2 linked regions of the Arabidopsis thaliana genome follow. The protein of the gene in region 1 interacts with the protein of each later gene in a pairwise test. Each region holds a gene or a part of one and is shown on either strand. Other genes may lie near its edges. The genes, in order: AT4G32295 and AT4G14720.

Region 1 (4,045 bases):
AATATTTTGTTTCTTGTACATATATGTATAATAATGGACCAGGTTGGGTAATGAGAAAGAAAAGCTTTACTCATAATCCAATGAGAAATTACTTTTGTGAAAAAATTATTAAACTACAAAAAAAGTTGGCCCTTTTTAAAATCTTACTTTGCCAATTTTCAACAATGGACTGCTTGGAAAAATGCTGGTAAGTGTGTTTCGTTCCCACAGGTTGATAAGATTCGTATTAGGTGAAAACTGAGAATTGACGAGGTCTTCCAGGTTGTCAAGGAATTAGTTTAATTATGCTTTTGAAATTGAAATAGGTCCAATGGTTTATAACACACAATAAAATATCTTCTCTTCCTTTTTAACTACTAATATCTGCAAGAGCATTTGTATATCTACACAAAAGATTTGGTTGTTAAGATAGTTTTTGCATCTAAGATTTGTCCTCTTTGATTCAAATTCGAGTCTAATGTCGAACAGCTGGATCGTATGAAATCATATAATAATCAAGAATTATATAGTTAATTAATGTACTTAGAATCTCATGTTGATTATGATGATTAACGTCCAAGTTCACTCGGTTTTTCTGTAGAACAGACGATTTCAAAAATCTTCCACAAAGTTGTTACAAGTGTGTCTTATCTTCATAAAAATGCAAACGAAACTTTAAGTTCGATCCGTTTTACCGAATGTTCTTCAGCCTACTTGCAACTAAATGGGCCTAAATTGAGTTGGCTCAAAAAAGCCCATTTCATAAGGAGCCTGCTAGAGTCATCATCGGTCGCCGAAGAATCAGATGGAGTCTAACTAAAGTCTTTCGATGGAAAATCCAATGTAGGGCATTTAATATGCTTGTTGTGAAAACAGAGATGTGGAATGGATATTTCTCGAACAGTGTTGCAATGTAAAAATACATTCGTGAAGTCTGATGATTCGAGATTGATGCAGGTAGAAGAAAACGACTTCATCTCCTGTTTTGTTACTTCGTCTCTCTATTTACATGTTCACAAACCTAAACCTAGGGTCTAGAGAGGAGACTAAAAGGCCTAACTAAGCACACATTCTTCTAACACAAGACTTGCTAATCAAAACCCAATCTTGCTCTCCTTTTCAGTTGTTATTGTTGCTGCTTATCTTACTTCGTTTTTGAGTAGGAGGTCCAAGAGGACCTAAGCGCAGAGATAGATCACATTCACACCCACCAAAGGTAATGCCATTTGTTGCGTCAATGAGACTCGCCGGTCTACTGTTCTTGGACTTACACGAGTCACTGATTGGCCGGAATGAATAGCATAAAGGGTAGGCAGAGTACTTGGAGACAGGGCAATTCTCTTGTGCTACTGCAAGATTCTTTGGAGCAAAGTTGTTTGGTTTCATGAATACTTGGGACAACATGTTGTCCAAGTTAGTTGAGTCTTGGCTAAGATAACATCTCGGGTTAATGTTCCGTTGGCTCCTTGAAGCTCTCCTTGGTGTGCACCCCAAATGCAATGCAGCTACATAATAAACAAGACTTGCTCATTGATCTGAGCCAATAATCCCCGAAAGCTCGAATATACAGATTGTATTGTATACCTTCAATACAAGGCTGAAGAAATTCCCCTGTTTCGGTGGTCTCATCAAGTCGTATGATTGTGTTGATGGCGTCGTTTGTACGGTCTAAAAGGGTCTTCATGTCCATATACTCAGCCTAACATCAAACCCACAAGAAGTATATAAAATATTCATATTCCAAATGAACACATTAGCTACAAATCCACTCTATCAACTCCATAAAATCCAAGGTTTAGTACAGATTACCAGAGACTATCAGTCACACTGTTCAAAGAGGGCAATAAAAAGCAAAAAATGAAAATCGAAATACTATTTAGAAACAATCCTTTGTAATTAAAATGTTGGAAGAAAAACCTCAGAATTGGCTTTGGAATACATGATTTCTTCAGCTCTCAAGACAACAACAGGGAGCTTCTCTTGCCATTCTGTGTTTTTCCTGGTGGATTGGCTGTGAATCTCACAAACAATCCTACAAATAGTTCAAAGAACAATTGAGCTAAAGAAAGACATGCACACACACAAACCTATAGATACACAGATAGATATCCAAAGTGAGAGAGAGATGATGATGATGACCTGAAAATCTCTTGGATGAGCAAACCCCTCATGGGTTGGTGTCTGTCACTATGCCAAGCTCTTCTGATACAGTCGTACGGTCTTGGCCCTGGCCTCGGCATCTTCCACCACTTCCTTTTCTATGAGAGAGAGAGAGAGAGAGAAAAAAAGACAAAGTGAGATTGTTGTTCTTCACTAGTTTTCACTTCTCAATAATTTATTTGAGTGTGGTGGGGGAGAGAGGTAGTCCTGTCCAACTGGTCCGGTCCGGTCCGGTCCGGTTTAGTCTGCCTAAACTTATCATGGTCCGGCCTACTCTATGTAGAGTTGCAGTCCAATAATTTACTAAAATATAACTAAAAACTCTACCATTCACCAAATTATTTAGGAGTTTTAGGCAACTGTTGGAGTGATTTTGAACTGTCAAATTTAAATAAGACACGTGGATAACTTGCGTCAAATCACCCAGTCCAGTGAGGTCTCAATTGATTGCATGTCTTGTGAGGAAAAAAGAAGAACGACTTAAAAAGCATAATAAGTATGATTTTTCTCTACAAATCACAAAAGAAGATCGTATGATTGAAAGTAATAATAAAGGAAACAAAATGAAATCTTGTGAATTGCTTTCGTACCGCGTCTAATCTTTTGCCATAATTTTTCGCTGACACTGAAACATTCAAGATGACGTCAATCTCTTTATTATTAAAAGGGAAATACAAATTAAAATTTTGTTTAATTTCGCCTTAATTTTGATTTTAATTTTGGATTTTGTTCTTTGCTATTCAAAATCATTATGGTAATTTGGTCTTAACAATCTACTTAACTTTATATGATCCGATTCAATCTAAACCGTTCAATAAAATTAATTCCGTTCAACAAAAATAAGTAAAATAATTTTATTTTTTTTATCTTCACTTTAAAGACATATAATTATAAATAACATAATTCATATAGTCTTTACTTTTACTAAAATTACATACACATAACTAATTAATACATATTTTAATACATTCCTTTTATTACTAAATAACAAAAAAAAAAAAAATCCCAATTATTATTTAGTTATATTTAATTAAAAAGTTTTATATTTATAAGTTTAAAATATCAAATTCATTCAAAAATTTAGTATAAGAATCAAATAAACCGATTGTCCGCGAACTCCTAGTAAATAAATAAAAAATCAGTGAATTGACAAACTAAAATAAAATCTCGTTGCTGACAAATAAAGTAAAGGTCTAAAACATTACCGAAGACCCATCGTCCTAAAACTTTTCAAGTCTGAACTCAAAAACTCAAAATGAAAACCACCTTAAGGTTTCTCGTCGTTAGTGAAAGGCCCAAAAACTCAGATTTTTAAAGGCCCAAATCTATTGCATGTCGACCACGTGGACCACCGTACAGAGAAACTCGTATCCAACAAAGCTGTTGCCTTCGAGACGGAAACGTTTCCTAAAACGGATCGATTACGAAAATTCACGCAGCCACGTGATGTCATTAGAAAGCTTACCATCCAACGGTTTCCATCAATCCACTTGTAAGACTAAGAACCCTCCACGTAAATCGAATATTTTTATGACTCCTTCCTTTAATGTTAGCTTTGAACACACTAATCAAACGAATAAATTCTTTATACATACACAATCACATTATGTGTGGCCTATGATTTAGTCAGATTTATGACAAACTGATAAAGTACAAGAAATGATAACCAAATAGAATTCAATTCATATATACTCTTTTCGGATAAACAGTACAGTGATCAAAATTATTAGAATTAGTGGCCAAATAAAACTAAGAACGTTATGTATATTAAATGACAACTCGAGAGAAGACGAATACTTTTCTATATAAAGATGTAAAATTCCAAATATGAAATGCCATTGAATTATATATTTCTATAATTAGTGTACTCGAATTAAATATATAATTTCTTAACGTAATAATAAGA
Region 2 (5,588 bases), 7.2 Mb from region 1:
TTCTTTATCTCATATCTTCCACTACTCTCAATAGTCAATTCTATATCCCAATTTTTATGTTAAGTTTTTACGATTTACAAGTTATTGGCAAATTGAAAATTGCTGTCAACTTGCTAGAGGGTATTGTAACAGTACTACCAAATATGAGGTCGAGTCTTAAGTGCTATATATGGAGAGAGATGATTTACGTTTGTGGAATCGCAATAAGTATATATTATCAAATGCTAGTCCATGGACATAAAACTATGAGCCAAAAATTAGAAATTTCTGGTTAACAATAACAATAAAGAAAAAAAAAATGGTATATGCATATACAGTATAAGGTAGATAGTTTTGATTTTTGAAGACCATTGATTAATATTATATATTTCAATATCAATTGTTGGTAAGTTATAAAAACCTTCAAACGAGAGTGAATTAACTTCAAAGTCACAAAGTTCGACTTTCGATGTTAAAAAAAATAAAATGTTTACACGTTCCATTCTCTTGTTCAAAAAAATTATGGATCAGTATTCCAAATTTCATAGTAATCTAAAAAGAAAAAGTTGCATTAATATGGTTTGCTTATCTAATCATTTTTCGGGACATCACCGTATGTATGGATGACGAAACTATATTTTAAAAAGAAGTTTTCAACTGTTCGTTTATTCATGCATGTATATCTTGACAATTACGACATTGGATGAATTGAGTGATGAATCCTTATCGTACATCACGAGTATAATTACATGTATCATGCATTGTTATCAATTATCACTTTATATATTGGATAATGAGAAGGGATGTCACGCAAGACCAAGCAAGGTTTAAGGGAGAATCGATATTGGTCAGACTCATGTGAAAATATATTTCTCCTCCTTCGTCTTGTCAATTTATTACTCTATCTCTTGTATTTTTCAATTGTTTTGGTATTCACTTCAGAAAATGACTAGTCTTCGTTTTTATGTGTTGAGCCATTTTCATTTACATGCATCTAAATGATCTACTGAATATGGATATCGAAGAGATTTTTTAGTATAATGGTTTGTGCTAGATCCTTTAACAAAAAAGTAAATGGTTTGTGCTAGTGTTTTTGTTGTATTGCTAATTTGCTATCCAATTCATAGCACACATGTTGTTGCCAAACAAATGCTAAATCCATTTTAAAAGTATCAACTAGTAAATTAGCTTAACAAATTTTTTGTTAACATGTTTATGAGATGTTTTTTTAAGAAAAAAAAAACTCATTTAACATGATTACATTTAGGGTTTGATTGGTTGTTTTAAACTGAAAATTGTCTGTTTGCAAAAATGTTTGGAATGATTATCTTTTTGCAAAAATTGCGTGACATGTTGAAGTGTTGCAATGCTGGAGGTTCTGCTAACTAACAAGTAATAATCGTATAAGTGACATGATCTTCCATTTTTTAGAGATACTAACCAAGAATTGTAAAACCAGGAAAAAAACACTAACCAAGAATTGATGATTGTCCATCTAGACTAAAGTAGTATACAAACAAAACACAAAAGATATTTTGTTCTATTTTTGGAATAACTCTTATCCATTTATAGAAATAATTAGTTGTTTAATCAAAATATCACATGCAAATTGATCGTATGCGATTTTAGATAAATTGACATCCACTCAGTAATAAACAAACAAGATACTCTCTGATTACAAAATAATCTCTGTTTTCTTTCGTGTCATTTTTCTTTATCACTCATGCTATTATTATATTTAAATTTAATATAAAACTGTTACCATTTACTATTTTATTTCACTGTTTGACGCGAAAAAAATAATCAGCATAAGATTTACCCAAAAAATAAAAAATAATTGGGATACTTAAGCAATGCATGATTAGGCTATAATCTAGAGAGACTAATAGGATGCTTACGTGGCAGTCTAGGGAGCTTCGCTGCTCCAAAAACCATTCCCCTAAAATTGAAGCCCATAGACTATTAGCGACTTCACTCTTTCTCTTTCTTTCTCTCTCTCTCTCTCTCTCGCTCTTCTAATTTTGCCCTCAAAACCCTCCAATTATTACGAAAACGCCACTGCTCTCTCGTCGGGACTCCGGTGAGGCCGTTTTGGCCGGAATCTGACAAGGGATATGGATGTAGGAGTTACTACGGCGAAGTCTATACTTGAGAAGCCTCTGAAGCTTCTCACTGAAGAAGACATTTCTCAGCTTACTCGCGAAGATTGCCGCAAATTCCTCAAAGAGAAAGGTTTCTTCTTCTTCCTTTCTCCATTTTTTTCCGGTCTTATTGTCTTCGACGGTAGGATCTTCCTCACGGATTTTGCTGAGAAGAATCGTACATAGTCAATTTTTTGAAATTCTCTATTCTTCTTCTCTCCGAGCTTTTTTTTTCGCTCTCTGGAGAATGGCGGCTGACACGTGTCGAAACAGGAATGCGCAGGCCTTCGTGGAATAAATCTCAGGCGATCCAGCAAGTTTTATCTCTTAAAGCTCTCTATGAACCTGGAGATGATTCCGGCGCCGGAATCCTCCGCAAGATCCTTGTTTCTCAGCCGCCAAATCCGCCTCGCGTGAGTGTTGTTCTTCGATTTTGTTTCGATTTACAGAGAAAAATCTAAGTTCTGAAGTAGTAGAGAATCGTTTACTTGGTTGGTGCTGATTTAGGGAAAATTGTTGTTCTGTGTGTACTGCTGTTTTGTTCACAGGTTACAACAACGTTGATTGAGCCAAGGAACGAGCTCGAAGCTTGTGGAAGGATTCCTTTACAGGAAGATGATGGTGCGTGCCATAGAAGGGATTCTCCAAGATCAGCTGAGTTTTCTGGTAGTTCTGGTCAGTTTGTTGCGGATAAAGATAGCCACAAGACTGTTTCTGTTTCCCCCAGGTTTACATTTTCTTCTATAGCGTTTTGACTTTGTGTGGTATCTTTCTTCTGCTTTCATGCCTCAAGAAGAGAACTGATGCATTGTGACATTCTGTTTGTGATCTTAGAATAAGTACTTGGTTTGATATCAGTGTCTTAGACATTGAAAAGTTTCTATATGAATCATGGTTTTGATGGTGGATTGGTCACACAGAATTTAGGTTAAAAGAGTCAGATAGATCTTCTTGGTTCTGTGTTACTCTTTACTCTTCTGTTTTGAGGATTGGTATGATGTGATGTGATTATTGCTAGTGAACGATAAATCAGTTACTTAGTCCATTAGTCTATATGATTTGTGAATTCTGCAATTACTAACAAGAGTTTTAGGGGTAGTTCATGTACAAAGTCTTATTGATATTAGGTGCATGTTGTTTTATAAACAAATTACTACTCCAATGTTATTTAATTAAGTTGTTTAAACACGCTTTTTTGTAATGTTGCATCAGAAGCCCAGCTGAAACAAATGCGGTGGTTGGGCAAATGACGATATTTTATAGTGGCAAAGTGAATGTATATGATGGAGTACCACCTGAAAAGGTAAATGAATCACATAATTCTGTCCAGCCTGAAAATATAAATTTTGATGGTATGGTTTTGATCATTCATCTTGTGTATTGATTTGCAGGCCCGGTCTATCATGCATTTTGCAGCCAATCCAATTGATTTGCCTGAAAATGGTATTTTTGCTTCTAGTAGAATGATTTCGAAACCCATGAGTAAAGGTAAGCATTTGCTAAAGTGTCTGATCTGCTTTTCAGTTGAAAGATTGATGATTCAGACTTGAAATGAGTTTTTTTTTTAATGTATAATCTAACTTGAAAAAATGACTAGAGCTGCTGCATCTCAAGATGAGTCTTTCTTTCTTTCTTATGTCAAACACGGCCTTTCATTTTGTCCAATTTTGAAAGGAGGCATTGTTAAATTACCAAAGAAGCATGTCTAAATGCTGTAATTGCTGCTACCTCTACTAGCTTATGTGTCTACAGATGCCTCGTGCCCCTTTTTTTGAAATTGTGATTTGATTTTTTCAGAGAAGATGGTGGAGCTTCCCCAATATGGACTTGAAAAGGCACCTGCTTCTCGTGATTCTGGTACAAACAGTACTCATTTTACCTTAAAGATATGAAATCCTATTATTCAATGATGCTTTAAAACACCTGAGAGCGAAATTTGGTCCACCTCTTCACCTCTACATGCTACGCTAAACTACTTGCTTGTTCTGCATGATATACGACCATGAAATTCTGTTAATTTAACTATTGTTCTTTTTGTTGGTCTTTTCTGAAGATGTTGAGGGTCAGGCGAACAGAAAAGTATCGTTGCAAAGATATCTTGAAAAGCGGAAAGACAGGTAGTTGTTGCTATTATGCTGTGTGCTTGCTTATTCCAAATCGATGAATACTGATACCTTTCTTTCTGAGCAGAAGATTTTCTAAGACCAAGAAGGCTCCAGGAGTTGCGTCCTCTAGCTTGGAGATGTTTCTGAATCGTCAGCCACGGATGAACGCTGCATATTCACAAAACCTTAGTGGCACAGGGCATTGCGAGTCACCTGAAAATCAAACAAAAAGTCCCAATATCTCAGTTGATCTAAACAGTGATCTAAACAGCGAAGGTATGAACAAGCATTTGTCAAATGGTTCCAATGATCTCCCTTAAAACTCTCATTCGCTTTTTTATAGATAATTAACAAGGTGCCAAAAGAACTGGAGATGGTACTACGGGTCAAAAGGCGGGAAGAACAATTTCATGTTCTTATAACATGTTAGCCATGTACAAAAAGAAAGAAAGCAAACAATGAATGTTCTCGTTCATTGTGGAAGAAACATGGGTTAAAGATTTGAGCTGGATCAGTGCGGGTCTTGTATGGTTTTGTTTTTTTTACGGGTTGCGTCCATCTTTTTTGGTCTGTAGTTTTGAGTAGGTTAGAGAGACGCGAGAGAGAGAGAGAGGATGTGGCGGTTTGTATTATGTAAATGCTTGTCTTATAATGAGAGAGACCTTATTGATGATACCAATCTTTGAGGTCCAAGTAACACAACTTCTTTGTGATTGATATGTATGAGATAATTAATTTGTCTATTTTCATGGCATGATGTATGTGATATGTCTGAGATTTGCAACATTCTTCTATAAAGTTGAGAAATAAGGGTAGTTTAGTCTTTTTAACCAAAGATTTTTATTTATTTGATCTTTTCCCTGTTTTAAAAAGAAGAATCGAGTAATCGGGTGGTTTTGAAGACGAAGAAGGACTAAGACATCACGAGGAACACGATGGGTGAAGCGGTCAAGGTATGTTTTTATCTTTGTCTCCTCTGCTTCTGATCTGTTAATGCCAATCGATAATTCCTAGTTTTGCGATGCAAGCATGAATCGTCGATTGTTATCTGAGTGATTTGATTCATTTTCGACGATTTTCGAATCATCATAACTACTTCTTTTGCTCAAATCTCGCAGTCAGTTTAATGCCTATTCGTATTCAATTTAGTTATGCAATTGACGATTTCTCGAATTGTCTGAAGTTTTGAAGCTAAAATCAGATTAAATATAAAATATCTGAACATTGCCTCCCAAGGAATCTAATCCCATCTTGATGTGCTTTTGCTTAGGATGGGAGAGAAGAAGTGATTCAAGCTTGGTATATGGATGATAGTGAAGAGGATCAGAGACTTCCTCACCACAAGGATCCTAAAGAGTTTGTA

Evidence for each region.
Region 2: the proteins of AT4G32295 (region 1) and AT4G14720 interact in a two-hybrid assay, tested with the Arabidopsis thaliana proteins (2 studies listed by BioGRID).

What each region holds. Positions count from the first base shown.
Region 1 is NC_003075.7:15,591,134-15,595,178, reverse strand, and holds AT4G32295 (histone acetyltransferase), read right to left. Parts: upstream 2,292-4,045; 5' UTR 2,220-2,291; coding exon 2,119-2,219; exon of another isoform or gene 2,012-2,118; coding exon 1,897-2,011; exon of another isoform or gene 1,679-1,896; coding exon 1,564-1,678; intron 1,485-1,563; coding exon 1,099-1,484; 3' UTR 624-1,098; downstream 1-623.
Region 2 is NC_003075.7:8,431,440-8,437,027, reverse strand, and holds AT4G14720 (TIFY domain/Divergent CCT motif family protein), read left to right. Parts: upstream 1-1,922; 5' UTR 1,923-2,093; coding exon 2,094-2,211; intron 2,212-2,393; coding exon 2,394-2,533; intron 2,534-2,668; coding exon 2,669-2,847; intron 2,848-3,332; coding exon 3,333-3,423; intron 3,424-3,511; coding exon 3,512-3,608; intron 3,609-3,917; coding exon 3,918-3,977; intron 3,978-4,173; coding exon 4,174-4,237; intron 4,238-4,310; coding exon 4,311-4,545; 3' UTR 4,546-4,568; coding exon of another isoform or gene 4,569-4,576; 3' UTR 4,577-5,055; downstream 5,056-5,588. Other genes in the region: ARD1 (acireductone dioxygenase 1), read left to right, coding at 5,161-5,178, 5,496-5,588. UniProt on the Arabidopsis thaliana protein: Regulates the arrest of dispersed meristematic cells during lamina development.